Arabidopsis thaliana: one gene and its partners. The protein of the gene in region 1 interacts with the protein of each later gene in a pairwise test. Each region holds a gene or a part of one and is shown on either strand. Other genes may lie near its edges.

The links.
Region 2: the proteins of AT1G19010 (region 1) and EML2 interact in a two-hybrid assay, tested with the Arabidopsis thaliana proteins (one large-scale study listed by BioGRID).
Region 3: the proteins of AT1G19010 (region 1) and AT4G32190 interact in a two-hybrid assay, tested with the Arabidopsis thaliana proteins (one large-scale study listed by BioGRID).
Region 4: the proteins of AT1G19010 (region 1) and AT3G61790 interact in a two-hybrid assay, tested with the Arabidopsis thaliana proteins (one large-scale study listed by BioGRID).

The regions. Positions count from the first base shown.
Region 1 is NC_003070.9:6,562,484-6,569,307, forward strand, and holds AT1G19010 (uncharacterized protein), read left to right. Parts: upstream 1-3,010; 5' UTR 3,011-3,132; coding exon 3,133-3,147; exon of another isoform or gene 3,148-3,385; coding exon 3,386-3,562; intron 3,563-3,929; coding exon 3,930-4,637; intron 4,638-4,811; coding exon 4,812-4,871; 3' UTR 4,872-5,179; downstream 5,180-6,824. Other genes in the region: AT1G19000 (Homeodomain-like superfamily protein), read right to left, coding at 1-201; AT1G19020 (CDP-diacylglycerol-glycerol-3-phosphate 3-phosphatidyltransferase), read left to right, coding at 5,659-5,919; AT1G19025 (DNA repair metallo-beta-lactamase family protein), read left to right, coding at 6,437-6,640, 6,715-6,820.
Region 2 is NC_003076.8:2,092,162-2,100,458, forward strand, and holds EML2 (Emsy N Terminus (ENT)/ plant Tudor-like domains-containing protein), read right to left. Parts: upstream 5,079-8,297; 5' UTR 4,651-5,078; intron 4,250-4,650; 5' UTR 4,217-4,249; coding exon 4,109-4,216; intron 4,041-4,108; coding exon 3,931-4,040; intron 3,837-3,930; coding exon 3,728-3,836; intron 3,616-3,727; coding exon 3,457-3,615; intron 2,931-3,456; coding exon 2,862-2,930; intron 2,657-2,861; coding exon 2,429-2,656; intron 2,352-2,428; coding exon 2,283-2,351; intron 2,186-2,282; coding exon 2,122-2,185; intron 2,033-2,121; coding exon 1,986-2,032; 3' UTR 1,727-1,985; downstream 1-1,726. Other genes in the region: AT5G06770 (KH domain-containing protein / zinc finger (CCCH type) family protein), read right to left, coding at 1-5, 548-626; AT5G06790 (cotton fiber protein), read right to left, coding at 5,927-6,556. UniProt on the Arabidopsis thaliana protein: Probably involved in the regulation of chromatin states. Contributes to RPP7-mediated and basal immunity, especially against Hyaloperonospora arabidopsidis isolate Hiks1. Regulates negatively EDM2-dependent floral transition.
Region 3 is NC_003075.7:15,541,594-15,549,471, forward strand, and holds AT4G32190 (Myosin heavy chain-related protein), read left to right. Parts: upstream 1-3,206; 5' UTR 3,207-3,458; coding exon 3,459-3,521; intron 3,522-3,807; coding exon 3,808-6,096; 3' UTR 6,097-6,264; downstream 6,265-7,878. Other genes in the region: PANK2 (pantothenate kinase 2), read right to left, coding at 127-220, 297-391, 517-636, 939-1,055, 1,310-1,362, 1,482-1,697, 1,867-2,122; ASY2 (DNA-binding HORMA family protein), read left to right, coding at 7,247-7,291, 7,475-7,571, 7,642-7,803. UniProt on the Arabidopsis thaliana protein: Required for the initiation of starch granules biosynthesis in leaf chloroplasts. Involved in determining starch granule number and size in chloroplasts.
Region 4 is NC_003074.8:22,870,348-22,877,313, forward strand, and holds AT3G61790 (Protein with RING/U-box and TRAF-like domain), read right to left. Parts: upstream 3,487-6,966; 5' UTR 3,197-3,486; coding exon 2,969-3,196; intron 2,686-2,968; coding exon 2,299-2,685; intron 1,993-2,298; coding exon 1,627-1,992; 3' UTR 1,350-1,626; downstream 1-1,349. Other genes in the region: emb1703 (embryo defective 1703), read right to left, coding at 1-1,115; AT3G61800 (ENTH/VHS protein), read right to left, coding at 4,376-6,184, 6,314-6,499; AT3G61810 (Glycosyl hydrolase family 17 protein), read left to right, coding at 6,821-6,920. UniProt on the Arabidopsis thaliana protein: E3 ubiquitin-protein ligase that mediates ubiquitination and subsequent proteasomal degradation of target proteins.

The DNA of each region.
Region 1 (6,824 bases):
TTCACCATCTCCAGCTCCGGCGGTGACTATCTTAGGGATCTCATCCTCCGGAGAAGACTTTTCATAATCAGAGAGATTGTTCAAACTCACACACTTTCTCATCGGATCAACCACGACTCTAACTCCGAACAACATGATCTCATCTCTCTTTCCCGTAACGCCGCAGTCTCCGGTCTCCGACGAACTACTAACGGCGGCCATAAATAAAACACTTTTTCCGATTTTGCCCTTTGCGTCGCTTTTGGTTTTTACCCTTTCGAAATAAGAACCGTACAGATTAGGAGACGAGGTGTGAGTGGATCTGAGCTACTTCTTCTGTCTTGTCTTTATAAAAACTCGATAAGCCACGTGGCATTACTTACTCTGTTGTGTGTTATTACGATAACATGACACGTGTTTATTTATGATTTGTTCGTCACTCGTTTCCTCTGTGACCTGCTTGTCTCTCTATATTTATCATTTCTTCCATTTGGATTTATTAATTAATGAGTTATTTTCTTTGGATATATTCTGATAATGTCTCTCTCTCTATTCATTATTTTTGTCATTTTAATTAAATGTGTTTTTTTTTGTTCAAGCAAAGTGAATGTGTCTCGACGTCCTTCTCTCACGTAAAAAAAATGGTTTCTAGTGTGATTTTCTTATTGATGATTTGAATATAGAAATGAGAAAAAAAAAGTTGGTAAAGGAAGTATGGTGTGTCATGCGCATGAAGATGAAATGTGATTTTTGAATGGTAGTTCATAATTAAACTGTATAAGATGGTATTATAAGTGTGTTTTATAATGTAATGTTAGTGTTAAACGAATCTGGTCAACTTACTTAGTGCGATTCCCGATTACATCCAACCTGATTACCTTTATATAAAAACCATTATCTTATTTTAGCTAGCTTGTAACGAATCACACAAGCAACCAAAAAGTTACCTTGATAATCTCAATCTGTTAGTACTCTTTATTTCATCCTTCGCTTTAATCTAAATTAATCCTCCAAATCCCTTTTAGAACATTGTTTTTATTGAAATACAAATTACTTCTGGTTAGGATTAAATGATTGATAAACTAATCAAAAGAATATTCCAAATTGTGGCATCAAAATATTTGATGAAGACATGGGGCCAATGGGAGCACATGATATCCTCATCACTTTAAATACTAGCTAGTATTTTATGTATCCATCAATTCTCTTCTTCTTTTTTTCCTTTTCCCCTTCAATTAATAGCCTTTTAAAGTTTTAATTTCCCTTGCAAATTGTCCTTTTAAAACCAGATATGATGATAATCCCTTACAAGTTACAAGCATGATTAACGTATGAATCTCCTCATAGTTTACAAACTGATTGATTCACATTCACACCACTAGTGAAACACATGACCGATTAATTCGACTGACTAATCATGTTTTAAGGGATATTGTCATGTGGATCATATCACTAAACTCTATTTTAATTGAAAATATCACACAAAAGTATAGTATAACCACATTCTTGCAAATATAGTGAAGAAATAATTGAATTCACACAAATTTTGGAGAAGGTTGTTGCTGATCGGGGTTGACTTTATATGTTCGCAAATAAACATGATATTTTATAAGAATTATATTGTACGATTAAATGACCGTTGTTGATCAGTTGGTTAAATATTGTTTTTTGCAAATTAAATAAGAGATTACAAGTTCAATGTCTATAACAAATTTCTTTACAAATCACAATGATCATAAAACTTAAAAAAAATTGGAGTCTAGCTAATGATGTAACACGGTTTAACAAAAAGAAAAGAGTATATGATGAGCTTCTCCAATAATCTTGGTTCAGCACATGAACTTAACCTTTCTATCTCTATCGACTCTCTCTGGTTTATCTTCTTAATCTTTGGTCGTCTTAACTCAAATCATTCAACATTAGAAGTATTCCATTGTAAAAATGTTTTGTTGTTGCAATTAGTGATTTAAAACAAACTAGAGACTTAAAACTTTTACGCTTTATCTTGTTAGTTTTTTTTTTTTTTAACTTAAAAATTAACGTGGTGTCATGATCATATCCCATCGAAGTTTAAGCATGGGGGTTTAACAACATGCATGCTGCATGATAGGAAAGATATAAAAATCTTCTAATTATTAATCAAACATTTTCTTGTGGAAAAGAAAAAGAAAAGGAAAAGCACATATATTGGTTATGAATGAAAGACACCATTACCTTTTCTTGGTTGCACACAACAAAGATGAAGTTAAAGGAGTTGTTTAGATAAAGCCACTATAAAGAGACTTTTCTCCTTTTAGTTTTCGCTTTAGCCAATTTGGATGAGTATGTGACTTTCCCAAATCAGAATTTTAGAAAAGGGTGGATCATGATAGGATTGTGTACTTAAACAGAAAATAATATTTGTTCAAATAGGTTTTTAAAGATTGAATGATGTTCTACCTCCCACTTGACAATTCCAAGCCCTTTATGGTATTTGAAAACCTTAAGTTGTTCCACACTCACACGGCAACAACAAGACATTATTGACTCATACAATGAAACCACACAATGTCAATGCGCCTCACACCATGACCATAGGTACCTTAATACGTATCATACTAGATTAATTTTGTTCTAGCTTGTAAATTTCTCTATGAAAGCTAAAAAACCTAAGACAAAACAAGTAAATTACCGTTTGGATAAAACAACTAAAGATTGGTTTTAAGATCGATTTGAACATTCTTAAGATTAGTTCAAATGGCCAAACAACGAAACACATATACTTAGTCTATGCTACACAATTCACCTTAACTAAATAACACTTATTGCTAATAAGTGATTCGTACCAATATGAATGATAATTCTCAACCGGTGACGTTTTACATTTTGTGAAACCGTCCTTTAACATTTTGTTAAGTGAATGAATGTGGTGTTCCTGTAATAAAGTAGAAAACTCAGGGGTAACAACGTAATTAAGTGGAAAACTCAGGGGTAACAACGTAATTACTATCTTTTCCGTTCCTAACTGACAGATTTCTTCAAGGAAAAAAGCAAAACAATTGGAAGAAAAAAACAAAAAAAAAAGGATTGCTCTCTTCTCTACCTCGTTCTTTTTCTTCTTCACGACTTCGGTCGGGAAAAAATTCCCTTGCCGTAACCGCATTTTCAACCCTAATGACTGACCCAGAGGTAAAAATCTCATTTTCAATCCCTAAATTTCCGCCGTGTTCGACTTCACATTCCCAATTAAAAAAAAAACAAGTTTTTTTTGTTTCTTCTCTGTTTCTTTTAGGTTTCATTTCTCTTTATATAAAGGATTGTTGTCTCTGATTTCGTTTATTGATCTGGATTGGTATTTCGGATATGGGTTTTGATTATTCCGTTCTGGGATTGCGATGAATTGTTTTGTGTTTTTAATGGTTAGCAGAAATTAACCGCCTTGAAGAAGGCTTACGCTGAGACAATACTGAACACAGCCAAGGAAGCGGCGGCGCGTGTTATGATTACTGAGAGGAAAGCGCGTGGGTATCAGCAAGAGCTTGCGTCTGTTAGAGATGAGGCTCTTCGTGCATGTCTTAGGCTTAAACAGATATATGATTCCAAGGTAAATTTTCAATTTTTAGATTTGTTTCTGTGGATTCTGTAAACTTGAAGAAACTTTTCATCATCTAAATTGTTTCTTGAGCTAATATTTTGAGTCTTGACATTGATTTGAGGATAAAGTTTTGACATTTCTGAGCTTTGTGTGATGACAATGAGCTTATATAGGGTATCGAGGACCTAGGTAGTATGAGAAACTGTTCTTTGGTTTACACTTATTTCAGTAACTCTTGTTTTGATTATAGCTTTGGGAATTGAGATTGTGGTACATTTTCTTGAGGATGGACTTCAATGTCACTTGTGCTGTATTTTTCCTTTCTGTTGCAAATTCTTCTTCTACTCTATTTCATTAAAAGAATTTGTGGTTATAGGTCAAGGAGGCAGAAATGATATCTTTGCAGAAGCAGCAAAAGATTGAGGAACTTGAAGCTCAACTTGGAGAAGCTGAAGATATAGTAGGAGAGTTAAGGACGGAGTTACGAGAATCGCGGTATCTCCTGGAGAAATTGGCAAATGGTTGTCAAACAAATCTTAGCAAAGAGGAGAAAGCCCCCAATGAAGCAGTTTCTTTAGAAGTGCGTGAGGACTCTAGCAACCACGAGAGATCAGTTGTGGCTAGTGTTATTAAACCACATATGAGTGACAGAGATCTTAGTATTAACCGGTGTTCTTATAAAGAGAATAAAGATCCTTGTCTTTATACTCTTCCTTCCATACTAAGTAGATGCAGAGAAGCTGAGGTGGTAGAAAGGAACACTATCAATGGAGATTGTGCTGATGTGGAATCACTTACAGAAGCAAGGAAGGAAGAAGCGAAAGAGAATGATATTGAGCTTTCTACTACACCTTTGTCGCCTTCTGAGAAACAGTGTATCAAATTCTCGTATAAGAGGAAGCATAATAAGGATGGAAGTAACAGCCCTGAAGGAGGAGGTTCCTCCTCACAAGATGATGATGACGACGATGAAAGCAGAAGCAGGAGACATAAGACTGGTGAGAAAGACAACGCGTATTTGGATTCTTTCACCAGCACTGAACCATCTCGTGATAGTCGACGTGTAGCTCAGGTCGCTCGTCAGGTTAGTGAATCTAGATAAATTTTCGGTTTCCTCTTGCTGTGACAGTTTCTGATCACTGTCCATGTGTTTTTTTTATTACCTTTATGCATAGCTATTATCTTGAAAGTTTTGTGGGTTTGTTCTATAAAATACTCAAGATTCTGACCTTTTTTTTGGGTTTTTTTGTTGGCATAGCTTTTACCATTCTCAGAGAAGAAAGGGTTGCAGCAGAGCCAATGTGATGATGTTCCTTGACTCACAAGTCACAAGTAATCTTCGAAGGTCCTGTCATCAAATTCCATTTGATCTTCTGGGAAAAATGGTTGATTAGAGAAATTAGCTGTAGTTGTAAGATTGTTGGCATATATAACCCCATTTCTCAGCTTATTAAACTAATGGAAGAAGCTAATTTTGGTCGTTGAGTTAGAATATTTCTCACACTACTTGGTTACATTTTTAATCGTCCGACTTTTCTATACCTTGACTAATCCCAAAGCACAAGACGATCATGTTTATTTTACTCAGAGCCTATAAAACAGAGCATTTTCTGATTATCCACCTATTAGTTCTCTTATCTCCTCGATTTTAAATTCTTTACCCAAATGAGAAAATCAGATTTGTTCGAGAACCTTGAGAAAAAAAAAATAGTCGTTATGCTTGAGTTTCTCAACTTCAGAGTCGTCAAGTCAAAACATTGAAGAGTCTTCGTCTAGACTCGGGGAATTTGAAGAAGTTTCCTCAATGTGTACTTGATTCTATAAAATATAAAGAATTTACTTCAATTTTTTCCACGAGAGATTCTTTTAATGTTCCAGAAGATTATATTGAGTGTGACAATTCATATAAAATAAAGTTAAAGAAGAAGCAAATCAATAGAAGTCATATTTGTTCACGAACACAAGGTTTGACCATACATAACGCGTCTCTTGAAATATGAATGTGTATATAAACAAAACAGAGGAACCGAGAGAACATCACAAATAAACTTCAAAGTACAAATTCCATTTCGATTTTAAAACTTTTGAGAAGACGATATACAATAATGAACGGAACATCGTGGGCTGACCAGTGGGACAATAGCGGCGACTCTGCCAAAGGAGGCCGAATCGGCAGCGGCGCCGTCGTGAGAAGCAGCGGAAGTGGAGCAACGTCAAACACGACCAAGTACAAGGAGAAAATGGGACAAGGGTTAGACAAAACCAAAGCTGTAGCTTCTTCTGGTTTTAAGAAGCTCAAGACTGGTTCTGCTATTGGTTTTCGTTGGGTCAAGGACAAGTATCACAAAACCACACACAAACAATAAAGATTTCTGTAAACTCCTTTGTATATGAGTATTAGTAATTTATTCACTTGCCAAATACTGTATTATGTCTGATCTATATTTTTCTAAGCTTGTTTGATTTGAATGCTTTGTTTACTGTGGTAAATTGTTCGAGTTTGGGTGGGTTCATGGATTAATTAAATTGTTTTTCTCTTTAATTTTTAAATTATTACATCTATAATAACAACGAATTATCGTTTAGACAAAATCATATTATGCGATTAAATCATAAATATATAAAAATAAGAAACGATTTATTTCGAAGTATATAACGTGTAATTTTATAAATTTTACTTTTAAGATCGGAGGGTAATTTTCCCTCGCTTCTGCAGAAACAATTTTTATCCGCCGGATCTGAAGTGGTTCTTCTTCAGAGTAAATCAATCGGAGAACCCAAAACCCTAGAAAGCAACCAGAATCACATTTCACTCTAAAATTATCGGCGGAAGCAGAAACCCTAGTCATTGGTTATATCCGTCGCCGGCGTTAGAGGGCCGTGATGTCGATAGAGATGCCAAGAGGTTTACCATTTGCCGTCGACACTTTTGGACCATACACGGAGACGAAGAGAAGAAAGAGACATCATTTCTTAACTCATGCTCATAAAGATCACACCGTTGGGGTTTCTCCTTCTAACATTGTCGTCTTCCCCATTTACTCTACTTCCCTCACCATCTCTCTTCTTCTTCAACGTTTCCCTCAGGTTTTTGTTTCCTCTATCTCTTATCTCTTCGTGTTTCCTTCTCTGTTTCCTCAATAATTGTCATAATTGTGCAGCTTGATGAGTCTTACTTCGTGAGAGTTGAAATTGGTCAATCAGTGATTGTTGATGATCCTGATGGCGAGTTTAAAGTTACTGCTTTTGATGCTAATCATTGTCCTGGTAA
Region 2 (8,297 bases), on another chromosome or scaffold:
CATCTCTGTTGCAAACATTAAGTGCTTTTACTTGGTTAAACTTTTCTACAATTTTCTCAATACATATCATTTGGACTTGGCACCAGTATACCATTCTGGTTTTGAAAATTTCCAGGGTTATAGAGTTTTGAAATTGAACTCAACAGCTTGAGTTGATACAGATCAATATATCAATCAAGTAAATCCAGTAATGTTGAGTGGTCACAAAGGCTAATGGGAGTTGATTGATGAATCCAATGAATATGAGAAGAAGGGTAAGCCAATAGCACAACACAAAGCAGAACAAGATACAAACTTCTCATATCAATTGTCTCCCAACTCTCAAGTAAGGTAATACCAGACTGAAGCAGAAAAAGGGTTTGCGACTAATCTCTCTAATGAACACAAAAATGAACAAAGGAACAACCTTTACGAGAGACAGAGCACACATTGCAACTAGAAATGAACAAACATAAGTGATACCAAAACATTCTCTCTTGTTGTGAAGATCTCGAATTTCTAAAACCCAATTGGAGACAATAGGAAGGAGAGGAGTGAAAGAACAAACCTTGCTTAGACCTCTTGAATCCGCCATTGGAGTTGTGAGAGGCAGCAGCTTCAGGGCGTCCTCTCTTACGAGCATCCATGTCTCGATAAGATCGATTGAATCGGAGTAGGTAGAATCGAAGAAAGATGAAATGAGATCTCAAAGTTTTGTGATATGAGCTTTGCGATTCTTATCCTTTTAAAATTCTATTGGGTTTATCATCATCATCATCATCTCCACACACACAGCTCAACAATATAAATGGGGGATAGAGGTTTGCTTAATTTGTTAATAATATAAATTAATTCGTGGAACACCAAAAGACCAGGAGACTAATTCCATTATTAATTATATGGATTACTATAAATTTAAAGTATATACATTAACATTAGAATGAATTTATGTTTTGACAATAATAGAGTTTATTTGATGAGACTGGAATCAAACTTGTACTCATGCAAGTAATAAACACCAAAAAAATATTCAACTCTGATTATTTGTACACATATTACTTTATATTTATTGTTAATTCACATCCAGTGGTTTCAAAAATAGAGAATTGTTAAATTTGCGCGTTTTAATTGTTTTATCATAGTCACATTAGTTTTAATATATTCAAAAAATACAGAAAAAATAATTTGGGTAACGAGTCATTTGTAGAAATTTTGGAAAAAAATCGTTAAGTTTGGCGCGTTTTAATTTTTTATCATAATCACAGTAATTTAAACTAAAAAGTAGTATTTTTTTCTGATAACTCTATCAATAACATTCAATCTAAAAAAAATACGGAACATATAATTTGAATAATCGATCGGTTTAAGATTGCCATTAAGATTGAACATATAATTGCCATTAAGAATTAAGATTGTCATTTTAACAAAAGAAAAATTATAAAAAATTTCTAACATCGGGTCGATAAGACGATAACCCTGATACTAATTTATTGTTAACCGTTCTTATAACCATTGAATATATTTTTTTAAAACAATAAAATAAATTGAAGTAAAGTAACCATTGAAATATTTTTAAAATTGAAGGATTCAGTGACAGGTGATTTATGTTGATCTCACTTTCCATCTTATATTCTTGCTAATTGAATCAGATTTTGAATGTTATGCTCAAAGGTCAAAAGCCTCTTCTCAATATTTACATGCTTGGTTCGATTCTTTTTACATTGTTTAGACAGGAATTGGGGATTTGAGCAAGTAAATTATTAACGATCCTGATGGCAAGCCTGATGATGATCACACAAGTTCAGAATTTTTTTTTAAAAATAGTGTTTTTACAAACAAAATTCCTAACGATTATTTTCATACATTCTGAAACCACAAATTAGAAGAATACTACTAATTGTTCATCATATATGAACAAAATCATTTTCTGGGATCCCTTAAAGCAAAACAGAAGAAAAAGAAATATTGCTAGTCATTTTTCCTAGGGGTGATGGTGTCATACATACTCACCCCAGCAGCATTGGAAGCTCATGCGAATACGGTTCTTCTCCATCTGGTTCACCAGCACAAATTATGTTGTTGTTAGTGATCTTAGTGCATGACAAATAGAAATAAACAAAGGCCGCTGTTCACATTTATTACCGCTTTCGTAATCAGAAGCATCCGTAAGCCTTGCAATGGCAGCAATAAGCGCCTGTTCATGTTCCTATATCATCCAATAACAACAACACCAAGTTTCACTTCACTGTTTCTTTCAATCGATATCTCGTCACAAAGTTCTTATCAATTATCATATCGCTCACCTTGAGTAGCTTCTTGGCCTTATCAAGCTCATGTGGATCAGGAAGGTTTGAATCAAAAACTCTCTCGACCTAATGCGAAAGATTTCGACATCAAAAACCCTTTTTGCCTAAAGAGAAACAAAATGCAGAGAGATAGAGATACCTACCTCTTTCACAAGTGAGTCTGTGTTGAACAATTCAATCTCACCGAAAAACTTCCTCCCACCACCGTTTTCCGTTGCTAAATGTTCTCTTCTTGGCTGAGTTCTTGGACCTCTCCCTCTACCACCATGGCTTAAGGTCCTTCGATTCCCACGAGTTGTTCCACCGCCATGTCCTACATTCAAAGTTACCCCATCTTCCTCTCCATCCCATCTTATATCTTTCGTTGGAATCTACAATTATATAACTAACTAACTTCAGATTCTGCTGAAAATGTTTTCATACTAGGTGGATACACTATACAAATGTTTCCCACGTAATCTTACTAATGAAAGCTACCTCCAAAAACAAATGTAACTTTACCCAAAAGACATTCTTGGCAGCATTTTCCACAAAAAACTTAAAAACCTAATAATATCAAAAACTCGTGAAGATTACCTCATTAAGATCAACCCATTCCCATGTCTCATTCACTGTGTTTATATCATATACCAACGCATGTCGACCCTGCGAGAGAACAATGAATGCATCAATTACAATATACTTAAGCTATGTTCAACGCTAAATACAGTTCCAAACTTCTAGATATATCAAAGTCATAGTATACTTTTCAACGCCTCATATGCACATTAACAGTAAACACCTCCTTTCTTCAATTCATCAAGAACTACACTATAGAGAGACTTGATTAACTAGAGAAGTCTTTCGACAAATGCCTAAACCATGATCCTAGACTAATCCAGAGTACCCCGGCTCATTCTGCCTAAACTTCCTTTTTAACTAGTGAGCTATCTAGCTAAGCGATTCGACTAGTTGCTTAGCTTTCTACACAGTTACAATCAACCTAAAGTAATTGCAATGCTCACTCACTAGAGTAACTCTGAACTATACGGTAAATTTCGATCAGGCTTTGAGGCCTTGGAGTCAGATATTCGAAGTACAGGAGACACCTCGACACACAAACATATATAATGCTGAACATATGAATTTCTGATTCAATCTCAATAAAAAGGTCTCAGCCATCAGAAGTTACCTCATTTGCATTGTATTGTGTAACTACTGCTTCATAAAAGCTGTTGTCTTCAGGCCATTTTGTCCACACTTTTCTTCCAATAAGAGCTTCCGCAGGTTCATTTGCTGATACTACACGGTTATTGAATGACTTACTTCTAGTAGAACCAATCGACGGATACTGCATGTGTATCACAAATGATATGATCAGTAAATAAACAGAAAACCATATGCAAATACAGATATCCTCTGCTTGTTGTTCTATGACCAAAGATTAAAACAAGAAGTCTTACGGATTGGAACGTCTTCTGTTTCTTCCGAGAAGCTGAAAAAGTCGGACTAGGATGAACATCGAGGGACTGATGTCTAACAACCTGGTTTCCACCTCTTGGTCTCGAATCTCTGTTGGTCCAGTTCCATCATACAACACATTATTACAAGATACAACGAAATCTAGATTCATAGCTTTACTATCACAAATGATCAGACTCGTTACCTTATTCTTTTGATAAGATCATCATTATGGACATTGTTCAACAGTTGTCGGTTTTCATCATCAGATATCCTCAATTCTTTACGTAGGTTTGTCATCACGGTTGCTTTATCCTATAAAATGAAACCATATAAGCCAAATCCTTTGTCTTTTGATGGCAAAAGGAAGAAAGAGGACTTACCCAAGAAAATTCATCAGCCTGTGCTTGAAAAGCTCTTAATACAGCAGAATAAGCTTCCTGCTCAAGTATATGAATCTGCGCTTCCATATTAATGTGTAGACCTACCATATACTTTCCATCCAAATGAAACCAACCCTTCTTCTGAAATGTAGAAAACACTTTATAACATCAATAGTTTAACAAACTACTAAATTTTCAGGTACTTCACGAAAAACATTGGCACTAATCAGATTCATGAATAATTTTGACAGTCGAGGTCTCATGAGAATGTAGGAGCTTATTGGTGGACTTATTGTATCAAGAAATTGGATAACTTTAGTTTAAGCGAATATTCGGACAGCAAAAAAAATAGACATGAGATGATCAAACAATCTAATAGAATGTGAAAAGAATATCTTAAACCCTAAGAAAGAGAATAATTTAGTAAAACCCTTTTTTTTAAACTCCAGTGATATTTCAAACCCTAGAACTGTTAGATCTCTCAATGGACAAAAGAGAAATGTCTTAAATCGCTCAAACTAAGTACAAAACAGAAATTATACCTCCTTATTCAGAATCCTGTCGTAAAACAGCAATCTTTATACGAAACCCTTAATTGTCGAAGAGAGAAAGATTGACTCCCAAACGCAGAGGCTATAAAGAGCTGATTGGATCCGAAGTGAGTAATTCGTAGGGAATTGAAGAGAGAAATTGAAAGAATTTGACAAAAAGGAAAGAACTTTTCTAAGTATTGGTAGAGATTGATCTTGATAAAAAGCGGAAGTGCAGTGTTTTGAGCTGGCTGGGCACAGCGTGCGATGAAGAGAGAGAGAAGAGAAGATCGAAGACGGGAAGTTCCAAGTTGGAGGAGAGAGAAACCTTAGTTTGGTCGGAAGCAGCTTAAGACAAGACGATGCGTTTTTGTTTAATTTCATTTTGGGCCTATTTTATGATAACATAGGCCTGTTTGGCCCAAACTGTTAATGAAAATATGAAATGTATGTTTTTTTTAAGGCACCTCTACTGGAGTCTCTAAAGTCTAAACTAAGACTTGTATTTATAATAAATAAAAGTTGGTTTTTATGCTAAAATTGTTTAGAATCAGGCTTGTTAATTTAATGTTTAAATTTTTTATATATCATAAAAAATAAAATTATCTATATATAAGCTCCATTATGCATAAGCTTAAACTATATATGAATATTATTTTTAATTGATATTACATAAAGTTAATAAATAATTTTAAATTAATGTAGTTTTAGTTAATACAATTATATAATTTAGGAAAAACTGAGATTTTGAAAATTAAAATTTACACTTTATAAATTTTATCAACATTTTGATATTTTAAATATAACTTGTTTTATATGTTGTCTAGCATTTTTAAGGTTACACTATCTTAATTTTTTGCATAATGATGTTATTTAAGGAAATATTTTATTTCTGATGGATCTTAGAAAAGTCAGATAAGTAAACTGAAAATCGAAATTGGTCCCGTTGTATACAACCAAAAGAAAACAACAATATCAGAAGATAGTAGCAAAAGAACGTCATAAACCACAAAAGCCAAAGTTACAAAAATCCATTCCATTTGTATCCTCTCTTCTCCTTTTTGGACTGTCGTCTATTCTAGTTTATAAACCACCACCATCAATATCATCATCATTAGACTGTAACACAACAAACACCACACAATCCATATATCCCTATGCTTCCAATACACATTTTCAGATAATTCAAACTATGCATGTGAGGAGTTTCAAAAGAAGAAAAGAAGGAAAAAGTGAAATCACATAAAAAGAAATGAAAGATACAAATTAGGCCCCATCATCATCGTTATCAACCGCTTCTATTCAGGGTTCCTTGGGATCTCCTATATGAATCAACTTTCTCCAACATGAACTTCTCATGGCAATTTGCTATAAACCTATCAGCCAATTTATCAATCTCATTCATCATCGTCTCTGTCTCCTCTTCTTGGCCGTCTTTAACTTTATCCTCTAGCTGTCTTAGATAGCTAGAGAGCTGAGATGGTTCTTGATCATCATCATCGCGACCATCCATGGATTCAGTGGAGTACATTGACTCCCAAGTCGATTCGTGTACGAGATGAGCTAAGTAGAGCTCTTCCGGGAGACGCACTGGCGCAGAGACAGGCACTACGTGAGAGGAGCAAAAGTTGTAGTGAAGTCTGAAGGAGCCGAATAATATATTATTCTTTTGTTTCTTTGAGACTCTCTTTGGATAGAGTAAAGAAGACACTGACAAGAAATTGTATTGCTTCTTTCTCAAGACTCTAACAAGAATGGATGAAACTCTAGATATTTCTCGGAGTAGCCGACAAACTTGAGAAATGATGAGAGTTTGTATTAGGGATTTGAGTTTCATGGAGCTTGAGGTTGGTGAAGAAGAAGATGAACATTGAGAAGAAGACATAGAAGAAGATGTTGATTTGAGTGGCATTGCCATTCTCTCTCTCTTTCTCTTGTTACAAATTAAATCTTTGGTTGGGAAAGGCTTATTTCTAGTTGAACATCAAATATTATGAAGAAGGGTTTGACTGAAATATCCTTATACTTTTGGACTATTTAAAGGGATGCCATTGCCACTCTACTTTGGAGAGTTTAATTGTGGTCGGGGTGGTGTGTGTGAGCCCACTTGATCTGACGTGTTTAACGAATACTAGGAAAATCTCAGATTTGAAAGAAAGAAAGAAGAAGTGACTTTAGATTCAAGTAACTGACACTGATCATTGCTTCTCTGTAGTCTGTACTCTCTTTATTTCAACTACAATTTTCACATCTTTGCTAATTTCTGTCAATCAATAGCTATAATATTACCACTGAATAGATTGCAAAGTTCGACAACAAAAATGTAATCAATAGTAGTTATTATTAGTTTAATGTCTTTCTCTGTTAATGAAATCAAATAGAGTGAAACTATATCCATCATTTTGCATGGTTTAATTGATCCACAGTTTGGTCATTGGTGTAACACCAAGTATGTAATATCGAATAACAAACCTAACGACTTTACTAAACATTCAAACGGATATAATAAAGGTGGGATGACGAATCTTAGACCACATGAAACAAATTTGTACAGCACTTTTATGCCCAAAAACAAATCCCTAGGATCCCCATATCGAGTCTCTATGACCATATGCCAGAAAAAAGATTCTACTACCCCGCTTCCTATATTTCAAAATATTTGCATTTTTTAATTTATTGTTTATCTACTTTTTGTCTTTTTTTTTTTTGTTTTTTTAAATATAGGTTACACAATCTATATTTAGCCCCCAAAAAATTATAATAAAAAATACAGTTTTTAAGTTGGACAAACCAAACTGATCAACAATCTTAAATTACGCCAAAAAATAAGTTTTTTTTCCTATGAATTGCCTTCTTATTAACCGCAACATTATAAACATCAATGCCTTAATCTAAGAAGATCTATACAATCAATTAAGTTACTGAAATTAAAAGAAACAACATATTTATTGGCGTTGATAATTAGGGTTACATATGCACCTTATGTCCCAAATTCGATATGATGTTGATAAACAAATTAAGCGGAACAGCTTCTGACGAGACAAGATAAGATAGCAAAGGACTCGACCTGCGCTTTTTTGGAAAAGGTCACTACGATATATAAGTTTTGCGGTGACACGACTTTTGATAGTCTGAGTAGAAAAAAGAATTAAGAATCCAGCGAGTCCTCTCAATCATGGACGACTTTTTGTCACGAGCCAACGGTGAAAGACAAAAACTTTTGTAATATGGGCTTTTTTAATTAACATCTATGAGCCCATCAAAATAAAGGATCCATTAGCCTGGGATGTTCAGAATGATCAAGTCAAAAGAAATTTTACATCTCTCTCCGCTTCTTGACATTCATAACATCTATCTTTGCATTCACATCTCTAACGATAATAAATCATTTAGCAATAGTGCAATACGGATAGAAACCAGTTTATCAATTCATGAAGAAAGATAATTTTTAAAGATTTATGATATGTTTGTTCATATGTGGAGATTCGGAACGTATTTGAAATATTTTTTTATTAAGGTTAAGGGAATTGTTTATTTTATCATCAAATCCGGCTGCAGAATGCACATCGTGATTCGTTTATTTTAATGATTTTTTAGAGCTTCAAGTTAAGGTCAAGTTTCTTCAAATATTGCCCTTAACAGAGTCTAGCGAAATTTGT
Region 3 (7,878 bases), on another chromosome or scaffold:
CTGTATGATTGATTAATGAGAATTACTAGAACAGTAGTAATAAAGCATTCTGAGTTTCAATAGGAGAGTAGTCACATCCTATAACAAATGAGATCACATGTAGTTTGATGCAAAGTTGACTCCTACCTTGGAGTAATCCATGCCACCATAAATATCACCAACGAGCATGTCAATGGCACTATTATCTCCCTTTTGGCTGAGTTCTAGCAATTCATCAAAACTGAAACAAAAGAAAACAGTGTAAGGTATAGGAAACAAAAATATAAAGAAATAATGTAAAATCAGAGCTCTGTAACCTCTTGCACTTCGTTAGAAGTCTTCCTAAGCCCCAATAGGTACCACCGCCAACATTAGTTCCACTCACACGTTCAAACTTTCCTTCACCATCAACCTATACTTTGAAAAGCCATTGCATGAAATCTACAGGTCCATGCAATCTTCTGACCTCCCAATTCAGAAGTTCAAGGAGCCAAACACACACTGATTGTGAAAAAAGTAGCAAACGTAAACAAATACCTTGATTATGCTAACACCAGATCCAACGTTCACAAGAAGATAAGGATACAAGTCATTGGGATCTATCTGTACAAATTCTTTCTCACCCTCCATGTGCGTAAAGGCTTCATGTCGAATAGCCTGCAGAAAATGCAAGAAACTAAGAATAAATTCAAAACATACACATGCAAATAGACAAAAGAAAAGTAGACTAATTGCAAAATTTCAATAGTCTTAGCAGAACTTTAAGTATAGTAAAACACACATACAGATATCCAGCTGTTTTTCTCTCATGTGACTCAGAACTTCAACAAACAAATCAACCGGTCACATATAATGAGAGTCTGTCTTTACGTTTCTATTTCGCAAGTGCTAGTAATAAAAGGTACAAATATGTATGCAGAGACAACATAAATGGAATGTTGCATAAAGAAAGGTCTTACCTTGAGCAAAAAATTTGCTCCAGAAACAAGACAATGCATTTCATCTTCTTTCTCAATACTAACGCCCAGCCGTTCCTTGAACAAGTCTGCAAATTTAAATGCCCCGCCACCTGTGACCTGAAAGATACACGTACGCTTGACTCATATGTTTAAAACAAGTAATAATCAACTAATCAAAGCCGAATCAGCAAATCACATTACATGGATATACAAGACTTATAAATATAAAAAACGTTTCACCTAAAAACAATAATTATGAGGGTCTTAAATGTTATCTGGTATCTCAAATGAAAGAGCGAGCTAAATATATGCAGAAGGAGCCTCAAAAGGTGATAAAGATAAAAACAATCAAGTCATAAAAATGCGATTACCTTGATAACACCAGTCCCCAAAGGCAAGGTCTTTGAACTCCAAGGATAAGGATCTATTCATTTAGTTGAAAAGAAATGGAGAAGAAGACGAATTGAAGAGTAAATCACCAGAAATTGATCTTATAATACAAAACAACATTTCATACACTGAAAAGGATAAAAGTAATAATACCTCGGCGATGAAGCTGCTTGGAATGAATAAAATCCAAGCACTCATTAATTTTGTGAGTCTCAAACTTGACAAAATGAAGTCTACCACCAAGAACAGGATAACTTCTCAAGTTGCCATTGGTAATACCCAATCTCTCCTTGATCGTCCTCTTCCGCTTATCATCATCATTAGAGTAGTCCTCATGTCGTGAAAAATACAACAACTTTATCAAAGAACCTGCAAATAAACTTAAAAGGGTTCATAATTCTCAAACATAGCACTTAAGAAATAAACATCGAAATTGCCAAAACCAAGAAGTGACACCAAATACTACTGGAAGAACCACAAGCACTAGATCAATGGTCAACTACAGTGAAAATAAAAAAGAAGTGAAATTTGTTGTCACCTCCGATATCAAGAGCCAAATGAGAGATATCATCAGACTGATTAGGCAATAAAATGGTGGGATCTCTCTCCTCGAGGTTCCCCTGAATTTCGGCTTTGCTTAGATCAAGCTGAGGTCTAGAGCCTGATCTGTGGATCGGAGTACCAGAAGTAGAAGGAGCCATATTTTTATCAGCAGCAACAGAAACCTGAGATTTTGCTTCAGCTTCTCTTTTATTGTCAAGAATTGGATCATACTCATCCTCTTGACCCGCCATTTTTTTTTTTTATTAAAAAATAAAAAAGGAACCCAACCAAACCCAGAAAAATCGGATCACCAACAATTGCCTAATTCTCCCAAACCACCACAAAACCCTTCCTTGCAAAGTTTAAAAAGTCAAACGACACGAACTGATGATGATAAGACTTTCCAGGGTAAAGAAGTAAACTGTTCGAGCTTTTGCTAATACGATTATACGACTAAGCTTAGAATCGCTTAAGCAGGCTGAAGCGGACCTAACTCCAAACAAAATTTGTATTTATATATAATTGTTTGTTAACTAATTAACTACCACATAAATTTCCCAAAAAAAAAAAAAAACTACCACACAAATTTGTAGTTTTTAATGAATTTGTAAGTGGATTAGGTTTGGTGTTTCACAATAATGACCAAACTCGAACTCCACTTGCCACTTATGAGTTTTTCCAAGTCATAGATGAGGATTACTGTGTTGGTTTCGATATCTTAATTAATCCGTCACACTTAATTCTTTATGTTTTACGATTTTTTGAAGTTTAAGATTTTGCTAACATTACACTATTCACGATAAATCACTTTTTCAGATTTAAGATATTTTTCGCCGGAATTTAGAAGGTAGGATATCCTTTAAAATGCTTTTGTGAAGATGGATTATATTATACAATTGGACTATTTGGTGTAGATAAAATCTTATGTGGGAAACAAATATTTTAGGAACACTAAACCAAAAATACCATTGTTACATTTTTTAATGATAAAAAAGTTCACTTGCAAATGTAACAAGATACAACCTCGTTGGGTTGATATGTTAAGAAAACTAGCTGATGGATTGGTTTTTCATTGGGTCTATTGGGCCAATGTCATGGGCCTGATGACTTTTATTCAGTTTCTTAAATTTATATTCCAGTTTAATATAACATACTCTTTAGTGTGTAAGCATTTCTAACCACGCGACTAGCCGACTACGCGAAAGAAAGAGAATTGTCATACTAGAAAACCGTTACCACGTACGTAATTAAGAAGAGTCCATTATTTTTACAAATAGATCCCTTGGCCGTGTATTTGGACAATGCCGACATGCATCTTATGAATAAGGGCAAAAAGGACTTTCGAGTTTACTGGCGACCACAACTCGCAAGCCAACGCGAGCCTCTATTTATTATTTTGTATCCTTTTTTTTGGTAAAAGAATTTTGTAACAATATCCATTCCCTAGCTAGATTCTTCTTCTTCTTCCTTGGATTTGTTCTCGTAAGCATTCTTCTCCAAAACGCCCACTTGTTAAATTTGATCCAGTGGATTTGGGTTTTGTTCCGTCTTTAAGCTCCATGGCGATTGCATAATTATGCTCTCAGGATGGGTTTCTCTCAGGCCATTCGCTTGAATCTTGCTTCCTTCTCCTCTCCCTCTCCCTGCGATGTTTGTTTCCTTACCTTTCTCTATATTATCCCCTATATTTTCATTTATATATCGCTGCTGATTCACAACACTTTACTTACTCTTAACTTTATCAAACTTGAATTTTTGACTTTTGCTGGCCTTGTTCTGATTGTTCCTTGTTCTGGCTTAAAAAGATTGCAAATTTCAATACTGTTCCTTTAATTTGAATAAGTTTGCTTGCATCCATATTGATTAGTGTCTGTCCAAAATAATCAAACTTTTGATTTTGATTTTGATGTCGGCCATATGATTTTTTCTTATGCAGTATTGTTTGACAAGAGTAGTAAACCATAAGCAGAAGAGTCTTGTCGCATTCCCGAGCATTACAAGGAGAAAGAGACATCTTTTACTGAGTGTTCAATCAGTCTTGCACAATACAAGACCCAACATCAACGACAATGGCTCAGCTGAGTCTGCAAATGTTCTTTTCGATAAATTATTTGCTCGGACACACAGATTGGAGAGACAAACCAATCAACACTCGGTTTATCCTGACGATGATGATCTCCCCTATTCAAACCTTGGCGTGCTTGAGTCTGACCTTGAGGCTGCGCTAGTGGCCTTGTTGAAAAGGGAAGAGGACCTGCACGATGCTGAGAGGAAGCTTCTCTCTGACAAAAATAAACTTAACCGGGCAAAGGAGGAGTTAGAAAAACGTGAGAAAACAATCTCTGAAGCTTCGTTGAAGCATGAGAGTCTACAAGAGGAGCTGAAGCGGGCAAATGTGGAGTTAGCTTCTCAAGCCAGGGAGATAGAAGAGTTAAAGCATAAGCTAAGGGAAAGAGACGAGGAACGTGCTGCTTTGCAATCGTCCTTGACTTTGAAAGAGGAAGAGCTAGAGAAGATGCGTCAAGAGATTGCAAACAGAAGCAAGGAGGTTTCTATGGCTATTTCTGAATTTGAAAGCAAGTCACAACTCTTAAGCAAAGCCAACGAAGTTGTCAAGAGACAAGAAGGTGAAATATATGCACTTCAGAGAGCTCTTGAGGAGAAGGAAGAAGAATTAGAGATTTCTAAGGCTACGAAGAAACTTGAACAAGAAAAGCTTAGAGAAACAGAAGCCAACTTGAAGAAACAGACAGAAGAGTGGCTGATAGCCCAGGATGAAGTGAATAAGCTTAAAGAGGAAACCGTGAAACGTTTAGGAGAAGCCAATGAAACCATGGAGGACTTCATGAAAGTGAAAAAGCTTCTGACTGATGTAAGATTCGAGCTTATTTCTTCTCGGGAAGCTTTGGTATTTTCCAGGGAGCAAATGGAAGAAAAAGAGCTACTATTGGAAAAACAATTGGAGGAACTCGAGGAACAGAGGAAAAGTGTGTTGTCATATATGCAAAGCTTGAGGGATGCGCACACTGAAGTTGAAAGTGAGAGAGTAAAGCTCAGAGTTGTTGAGGCTAAAAATTTTGCGCTTGAGCGGGAAATATCGGTCCAAAAAGAATTGCTGGAGGATTTACGAGAGGAGTTGCAGAAAGAGAAACCATTGTTGGAGCTAGCTATGCATGATATATCCGTTATTCAAGATGAGCTTTACAAAAAAGCTAATGCGTTTCAGGTATCACAAAATCTACTTCAGGAGAAAGAGTCAAGTTTGGTGGAGGCCAAACTAGAGATTCAGCATCTGAAGTCCGAACAGGCTTCTCTAGAACTATTACTGCAAGAAAAGGATGAAGAACTCGCTGAAGCTCGAAATAAATTGGGAGAAGTGAACCAGGAGGTAACAGAGCTAAAGGCACTTATGATCAGTAGAGAAGATCAGCTTATGGAGGCAACTGAGATGCTGAAGGAGAAAGATGTCCACCTTCACAGAATAGAAGGTGAGTTGGGCAGTTCCAAGCTGAAAGTCACTGAAGCTGAAATGGTGGTGGAAAGAATTGCAGAATTGACGAACAGACTGCTTATGTCAACCACCAACGGTCAAAATCAGAATGCAATGAGGATTAACAATGAGATAAGCATTGACTCAATGCAGCAACCACTAGAGAAACCTCATGATGATTACGGAATGGAGAACAAACGGCTGGTGATGGAGTTAAGCTTCACCAGAGAAAATCTACGGATGAAAGAAATGGAAGTTCTAGCGGTGCAGAGGGCTTTGACATTTAAAGACGAAGAGATCAACGTGGTCATGGGAAGATTAGAAGCCAAGGAGCAGGAACTCAAGAAATTGAAAGAAGAAACGATCAATGACAGTGAAGATTTGAAAGTGCTATATGCCTTGGCACAAGAGAGAGTCGGGGAAAAAACAATGGGTGATCTGGCCATAGAGATGCTTCAGCTTGAGGCAGCTAACCTTGAAGTTGAAGCTGCGACCAGTGCATTACAGAAGCTTGCAAAAATGAGCACGGAACTGTTAACTCAAGCTGACATGAGCATTGAGGCCGACACAACTCACACTGTAATGCCAGAGAGAGGGTATTCAGAAGGAAGTAATGAGTGTCTTGGTGAGGTAAAAACAGAAGTTGTCAGGCTCTGGTCCTTGACAGAGAAACTCCTGGAGAACGCAGGAATCGTTGCTGGTACATCTACATGCATGGAAGGTGTAATTTTATAAAGCTTTGATTAACTTTATAAGCCTAATCTGTATGATTCTTTTGTGGATATGTAGAATTACTGGCGGTTAAATATGTTTACTTGTCACTGTGAGCAAGTCTATTGGAGAGTCTTAATCAAGAACTCTTTGCATTTTATAATAATAAATATTAAATAATTTAAAGTTTAGAGTTTTTATTGAATCTTTACAATTTTTTATTGTCCAATGGTGGTGGAGACTTTAAGAGGATTTCTTCAAAAAAAATAAAGATTTTAAAATAAAATATTATAAAGTTTTTTATTTGACAAAACTTAATAATTATTAGAAATAATAAAATTGTAAACATGCATCATGACATAAAAGCAAAAAAATATATAGAAATGAAAATTTGAAAAAGGATAATATTTAAGCTTGATTCGGACCAAAATTTTGCCATATATATACTCTGATACTCAATCAAATCATATTTCAATCGTTCATGCTAAGTACAAAAGTCGGGTTTTGATACTTAATAATTACTACAAATATTAAAATTGTATACATACATCATGATATAAAAGCAAAAAGAAAATATACAAATCAAAAAACTTAAATAACGACTAGATTTAAGCATTATTAAAACAATGCATAATCCTTTTTTTATATAGTTTTTTCTCAGCCAGTCACAAAGCAACACAACTAAAGTCTTTAACAAATGTTAAAACTCTAAGCTTAGGATCAATCCTTAGCCTAATATCTTGTTTTCATTTATTTTTATTACATTGGAGGTGGTCTAAGTGATCTCAAAACTAAGTGATTTTTAATGATTTGTATTTGTTTATTACGTAGATAAAATTCAGCCGAGAGTGGCTGCCACCACAAGGTTCTTGCCAAGGGTAATCTCTCGTTTAGGTGTCGTTGATAGAAAAAGGTTTGCGACGTACCCTGGGACTTATGCCTACAACAGCATGTATACACAGATAGTAGGCCGTTAGAGTGTAACTGATAGGATCACCCCTACTAGCATCGCCAAATACCAACCTTGCCCCTAAATTTCCTTCTCTATTTTTTTGAGTAACTTTTTTATAAATTTTCAAACTCGCTCCCGCTTCTGAGTCTTTTTCCGTACGAAAGAGAGAGAGATACGTCTATGCGATTCTAGGGTTTTTCCGGCGAAATTTCTCAGCCAAAGATGGTGGTGGTAAGCAAGAACAACGAGCAGCAATCGCTCATTTTGGTAAGTCACCTCTTCTAGCTCCAATTTCTCGTTCCTTGCTGGTGATTTTCGCAGCTGGATTTAGTTTGCGTGTGTAGCGTCCTGCGTCTAGAGATGGATTTTCGTCTTTCGATTCTCAATCACGCCGATACATATATTTTTGGCTCTGACTTGTTTGTTTTGTTCTTCGTTGTGTTGAAATAGACTACGGAATTGCTCCGTACTGCCATCTTCAATATCAGTTACATCAGAGGCCTCTTTCCCGTGCGGTATTTCAAGGATATGTCGGTTCCTGCTTTAGGTGAGACACTAACCATGGAAGTTTCTACAACTGTTTAATGGGAACCTGACGCTTTTGAATCACAATATAGATCTGAAGATGAAGAAGCTAATGCCTATGGACGCTGAATCACGCCGATTGATTGGCTGGATGGAGAAAGGGGTCTACGATGCCCTGCATAAGAAACACCTGAAAAAGCTGATATTCTACATATGTGAAACAGTAGATGGTCCCTTGATTGAGGAATACATATGTAAGTTCTTGGGAGATGATTGGTTAGTTCAATACTAGTGTAGTTCGCTGGTAAAATGGTCCGATTAATTGATAC
Region 4 (6,966 bases), on another chromosome or scaffold:
TCGAGCTTCTGCTTTTCATTAAGTTCTATGCCAGCTTCTATCTCCCGTGCTCGTCTAGCCATTGCTTTGATTTCATGGATCTTATCAACAAAGTCCAGCTCAACATGAGGAGAATTCACGAGTTCCAGTTTCTTCTCTGAACCCTTAACTTTAGAAATACTAGTCATAAGTTCATTTCGATCAAACTTAGGCTTCTCAAATGACATCAATGGCTTTTCCAAACCCTCCTTGTGCAAAACTTCCACGGTACCTTTCTCCGACATATCCCTTTCCTGCCAAGCTTTCATCTTTCTCCTCATCATCTCCTTCTCCAACTCTGTACACTCAACCTCATTACTCTTCCTATACACAAGCACCGTCTTCAGCAACCAGAGTCCAATGTAACCACACAAAACAGCTCTTCCAATCGCCGGCAACTTTGGAATTAAGTCAAGACGAAGAATTGCGTTTTGGACTGAGCTAACGAGACGAAACTCTTCCTCTGAAGAAGAAGAAGAAGAAACGAACTTGACAAGAGAACTCTCCTTATGGATCACATGTTCCCCATTCTCCATTTGTTCAGCTAATTTCTTCGCATATACAAGCTTAGAACTCACTGATTCCAAATCCCCAAGAGCTGATCTTCTTCTACTCAAGACCTCGTCTTCATCAACCTCTACTTTCTCTACGTTTCCAACAGAATCCTGATAGACAGTGAAAATGGGATTCGAACCAATACCCCAAAACTCTGCTTCCTTGTTATACCGAGCAACCCAATCTTCAAGCTCATTCAGCAAATTTGAATCTTGAGCAACCCTATCTTTCAATCCCTCGGTGCTACTTAAATCATCACAGTGACCAAACTTATGGCTTTCGTTTAGAGGTTTCGTACCTGGTTCAGAAGATTTCGGAGTCGAACGCCAATACTCATCACCGATGATCTTCTTCCTCAGCGAATTACGTCGCCTCGAGGTCTCTCCGAACCGAGCCGAGACTCGGAGAATTGAAACGCGATAGTAGTGGAATTTGGAGATGGGCAAGTTGAATCGACGTTGGTTAGCGAGTCTCCTGTTCGAATTGGACGAGAAAGACGAGAAATTGAAGAAACCATCATTGGAGTTTAGTAGAACCTCCATTGATGGAAACCAAAGGGATAAAGCTCACTTCCGAGTGAGAAAACCCCCAAAAGCTGGGTTTAACAGAACAATGATGAAACGTCGTCGTTTCTTAAACAAAGCTAACGCCTTTGAACAACACTACAGTTGAAAAAAGGTTCAACATTTTACATTTTCCAGATATAAAGCTCATCACTTCCAAGTTCCAAAAGCTGGGTTTAACAGAACAATGATGAAACGTCGTCGTTTCGTGGACACAACACAAGCATTACATAAATTTATGAACACTACAGTTGATAAAAGTAAAAGGTTCAACATTTTACGTTTTTCCTCCAGATATAGCAGAATTGTAATGAACTATATATTTTATAATAAAAAAACCTCCATGACATGAGAAAGACAGAGAGAGATACATAAGAACAACCCCAAGTTTATCGTCAGAGAAAACCCTAATTACAGATAACCATGGTTACAGAGACAAGGCCAAATCGGTGAGGTTTTCAAAATCAGTTTGATTTTTTTTTTTTAATTTTCAAGACAAGTTTGGGATACAAGCTCCTCCACCTTCACCACTTTGTTGTTGCTCTTTCCATATCCTTCCAGTGACTCGAAGTTTCAGCTCTTTCCTATCTCCACCTGAGAAGAAGAGAGCCATGTTTCTTTGTATAATTAGTCCATCATGACTGTCTCTAACTTTCCTGTGGCTGTCTCTTACGCTTCTTGGTGTTCCTTCCCATATCAGCTTCCGACCATAACCTCCCACTTCTAAACTGTAATTGTAGTTTCGAGCTTCTGTCTCGTCCCCCATGAAACGCAGGAACGCCATGTAGACTGGAGCCATTCCGAGCTGGAATGCCTCAAAGTGAAGACAGAAGTATTGACCGAAGCAGTGAAAGACCTGATTTTCATTTTTGAACCAGAAACAAAACCAAAACAGAGGAAACCTTGATAAGCATTAAAGTATATCAAGTCAACATGTATAGCGAGATGGAAGATTCACAATTCACAACCATAGATTAGATAAATAACTGGACCTTCTCTAGGAAAGCTAACTCGCAACAAAAGCAAAATTTGACTCAGCTGATCACATTACAGTTTATACCAGACAGATCAAATTTTATCACAAATATAATCCTATTACTTTAAACAAAGCCTCCTAACTTATCTAAGTGTATACTATGAAGCACGATTCATATGTACTTACAGTTAACATCCATGTGGCGTTTTCGACTTCACGAGGATTAGACTTGACATAACGATGGTTGAAAGTACACCCAGAATGCATATCCACCTTATGATCATCCCTCAGATGAGCAACTAAGAAAGGGATATCGCCCGTAACAGAACACTCGGATCCAGCATAAGGGCAGCTATAAGGTCTGAAGTTACATACAGTCTCATGTTTGAGCTTACTGTAATAAGGGAAGATTTCAGGACATCCAAGTGACATGTGTTTACAAGGTAGTTCAAGTGATTCGGCTACTTTTTCCAGTGCCAAACAACGGATATCACCGAGCTCTTGTCTACAAGTTGGGCAGCGGTTGTGAACCCTGGCTTTACAGGTTGAACACAACGTATGTCCATTGTGACACTGTAGGGAAATCAAATAATTGTCTATCTGTTATTCCATAATTCTCTAAAGAAACAATAAGAAGAATCTTAGAAACTATCAAAGCTATTGACAAAATTTAGTGACAATTGTTTCAATTGTAGCCATTAGTGAATGGATAAAACTAAATTTCAAGTTACAAGAGCAACACAACCACTGCTTCAACATCCATGATTCACATCATTAACTCAAAACCCTAAACAAAATCAACAAATTAAAGATCCGGGGAAACGAAATCAGAGAACAAGGGATTGAAAAGAAAGACCTGATGAATGGGAGGGTACATAGAATTGGTGCAGACAGGACATTCGAGAAGCTCATGAACACTGGTGGTGGTAGGGAGAAGCCCAGAAGCAGCAGCATTAACGTTGGTGGTGTTGTTATTAGTATGATGATGCTTGGAAACAGAAGCGTAGGAATGGCGATCTTGGTGGATCTCTTCATCATCTGTCACATCCATGGTTGATGTACAGTCCATGCTATCCAAATCCATTGAAGAAAGGTGGAGACTTTGATTGATCTTCGATCGAAACGAAAGATCAAAATCCGGAATTGAAGAAACACCACCGAAACAGGTCAACCCTCGTGAAGTGTTGTTAATTTTCAAAAACAAAAAAGATAGATGCTCTTCTTCATCAATTCTCTAGAGAGAGAGAGAGAGATAGTTGCCGTCAAATGAACCGGAAACGCTGATTTAAGATCGGACGGTCACAAAGGCGGCTGTGTTAAAGAGAGAATGTTATTTGGAAACAAATTGAATTATAAGAGATTCAGAAGAATTTACTGGATAGGGGAAAAATAATCATATTCTAATAATATACGTACAGTATATCCTCTCTCACTCAATGATTTCTTTGTTTTTAATTAAAGGGCCATGATCCAGTAGAGATGGGCCTAAATATGTACATGGTGCACATGATTGCTTCTTTTTTTTTATTCTAGATGTTTTTCTCTCTAGTGGGATTCTGTCTATCATTATTGTGTGTTCTTTTTTTACTTTTAATTCAAACAATTTCTTTTCCTTTGTACAAGAAAAATGATTTTCAACTTCTAAAATGACAGCTAAATTCAAAGATTCATGAAAAACATGCTCATCTTTCTGTTTACTTTAACAAAAACTTTAAGAGATGTATTTAGGTAAAATTAGACGGTTTAAGAATATGAAATTCATAAGAGGAATAATAAGTAATGGGATGTGGCTTGGGTTCAAAGTCACTTCAAAGACCAATGATAATGTAAATGAACATTTTACTCTTCTTCATCTCAAGCAAACTCTCACAATCTTAAAAGCAAATTATTCAATTAATAATTGCTTCTCATCAGTGATCGGTCTCATGAGTGATATCATCCTTAAACACACCACATAAAAGAAAAAGAAAAAAGCGAACAACAACGATCCATCCAGCTTCAATGATCTGTCGTTGCTTTTTAACAGAACATGTCAATTGTACTATTATCTTTCTGTTGGGTTTTGTGACTTTTGTCTGAGAAAAATATAAAGCTTCAAAGAATCTGGGACTTGACTTAAGAACTGTTTTCACAGCTACAAGAGATCACAAGCGGATCTGATTATTCATTCATCAAATATTCTTTAGCTTTTTACTCCTATTTGCATCAAACAATCAAATTTAAGGCACTACTGGATCAAAACTAGAAAGATTTTAGTTATTTGTTACCACTGGTTAGCCGATGTATCCCGGCACTTTTCATCATTGCCCTGAGCCAACTGCTGTGGATTAGTACCTTTTACTCGATTACTAAACAGTCTCTGGGATATTCTATCTTTAGCCGTTGTTTTCTTACGCCTTGTGGAAAAGGTTTGCTTCTTGTTTTTCTTTTCAGCAAAAACTCTATCAAACTCATCATCCATAGCATTCGATCTAGAAGTTGAGGCTATTGCCGCACCACGCAGAACTTCATGATTGTGTTCCTTAACCTTAACCTTAACAAGCTTTGCTCTTTTCCTCACCACTTCTTTGTCTTTCTCCCGGATATTCTTCAGAGCCTCTTTCGCTATTTGCCTAGCTAACTGATTAGGATCAGAATCTGAAGTTGTTTCATCCATAGACACATCCTGGTTGGTCCCTGAAGTTGAAGAAGTTTGGTTTTCACTCTCATCTAATGGAGATTCCTGGATTATGGTGTTTCCTTCATCATCCCGGGGTACAATGGGTCCGTGAAACGGACAGACTCTGAGATCTCTTCTCTGGCAAAGACCACCTTTCTTTAGAGAAGCACGGCATGGAGGTGTCTCTGTTCTCTCTTCTCTATACACGGTTGCCTGAAGATTCAATTCTGCTATTTTATCTGCTGGAATTATAGCATCTTGATCCACCCTGCCCCAGTGGCTCTCGATCTCTAAACCCCGGTAATTAGCTCGAACTTCCGTAGTTGATTCCCAATTAGTCAACTGTGATCCCCAATTCATCACAGGCGCTTCAGAAATTAGCTTGTCTCTAAGAGAGTTTCCACTGCTTCCAACTTTTTTAGTGTTCGACACTTTATTGGACCTAGCTTCTGATGTAGACTTCTTTGCTTCACCTGATGATGGTAAAGATGAATTCTCACTCTGCTGAGTTCTCATCACATGAGCCACGTTCTTGACTGAATCAGTTTTAACCTTGCCATCATCCTCCTCCCAGATATCTTCTTCTTCCTCGTTTGTTTCTTCATTACCGTGAATATCAGTCATTCTTGACATTGTAAAACCAGCTTCTTCCCATTTCTTTTTAGCTGCCAATATGTTATTCCTGATATCAATCAAGTCCTTCAACATGGAATCTCTCGTTCTGTTATCACTTACGTCAACCCTAATGAGAAGAGAGATCCCTTCTTGAACCGAGATCAGATGCTTTGTCACTAGAAGCTTGCACTGTTCCCTCAACACATCAAATACAATTCTGTTTTCACCAGTTTCTTCAACCTTTTCTGATTGTTTCAGTGAATCAAGACGAATTTGCCTCAGATGAGAACAACGGATCTCCTCAAAATCTTCCTCATCTAAGATCGCAAGTGGAACACCATCATCCCCTCTCCACTGAACAATTTCCATACACTCCTTGATTTCCTTTATCGTTACCTCAATCTCATACTTGAAGAGTCCAAAACTAACTCTCAAGGAATCAAACTTGTTCCGCAAAATCTCTTTTGTCTTCATCTCCCTCTCCTGTCTCTCTCGTTGAATCCGTGCAGCATTAGCCTGTAAATCAGGGAACTTTAACTTGAGGGTATTCTTAAGGTAATCAAACCCAAGTCTAAGCTCCTTGTAATGAAACCCAAAAGACAAATTCCACTTCTCCAAGAACTCAATAGCCTTTGAACGCAACGTAGTGGCAACAGCAGGTGGTGCAGGAAGAGGCAGATTGCTTCTAAACCCAATACTTAAACTCAAAAGCTGATCAAGATTCTCAATTATCAAAGTTCTAAAGAGCTTTGATCTCATGAATAGCTCGTCGATTATGAAAAGCGTCAGATATCGAACCTGTCAAAGAAAATTATCACCGCGTTATTTGACCAACAAACCTGATCAATCAACATTGACTAGTCCTTAAAAGAGCAAGTTTCAATGAATTGAACGGATCAGAAATTGTTCAAATAATGTGAAAAAAACCTGAGAGTGGTTATGTCTCATGAGCTCCATTAGGGTTTGCGAACTAAGTCGGACCTCCGAATCAGAATAGCGAACAATGGATTTGATCGCCTTGAGAAGCCTCGGGTCAACCTCTTGAGCAGTTGATTTCGTCGCTTTCTCTATCAACCCAATAACTTTCCCTCCGCCGTCATCTCTTCCTTCCATCGCCGGCAATCAGAAATTCAGATTTTCTTCTCCTTTCTAATTTCCGAAGAAGACGATATAAAAAGAAAACCGAAAAAGAAAAAATTAGATTTGTGTTGGTTTAATATTTGTACCCACTATAGTCGGTTTACTTGGTTAAACGAAATGACTTATTTACCCCTCTCTCCCCAATTGGTTCGAAGTAACGTATTTGCCCCTGTTTGTCTAACCTCTATTCACCAACTTAGATGGGTGTTAATGTAATTACGATAAATATCGTTTATATAGTTGATGTGAAGTTTTCCTCTTCCCACCAAAATCACTCAACACAGTCGAGAGAAGATGAAGATGATCCTGATGACGACGATGCAAAACGCTTTCTGGATTCTCTTGGTTTTTTCCATCTCAATGGCTTCTTGCTCCACGATTCCATCGCTTGTAGGTAAATAATCTGGTGATTCTGTTATACTTTTCCCGAGAAAAAATTG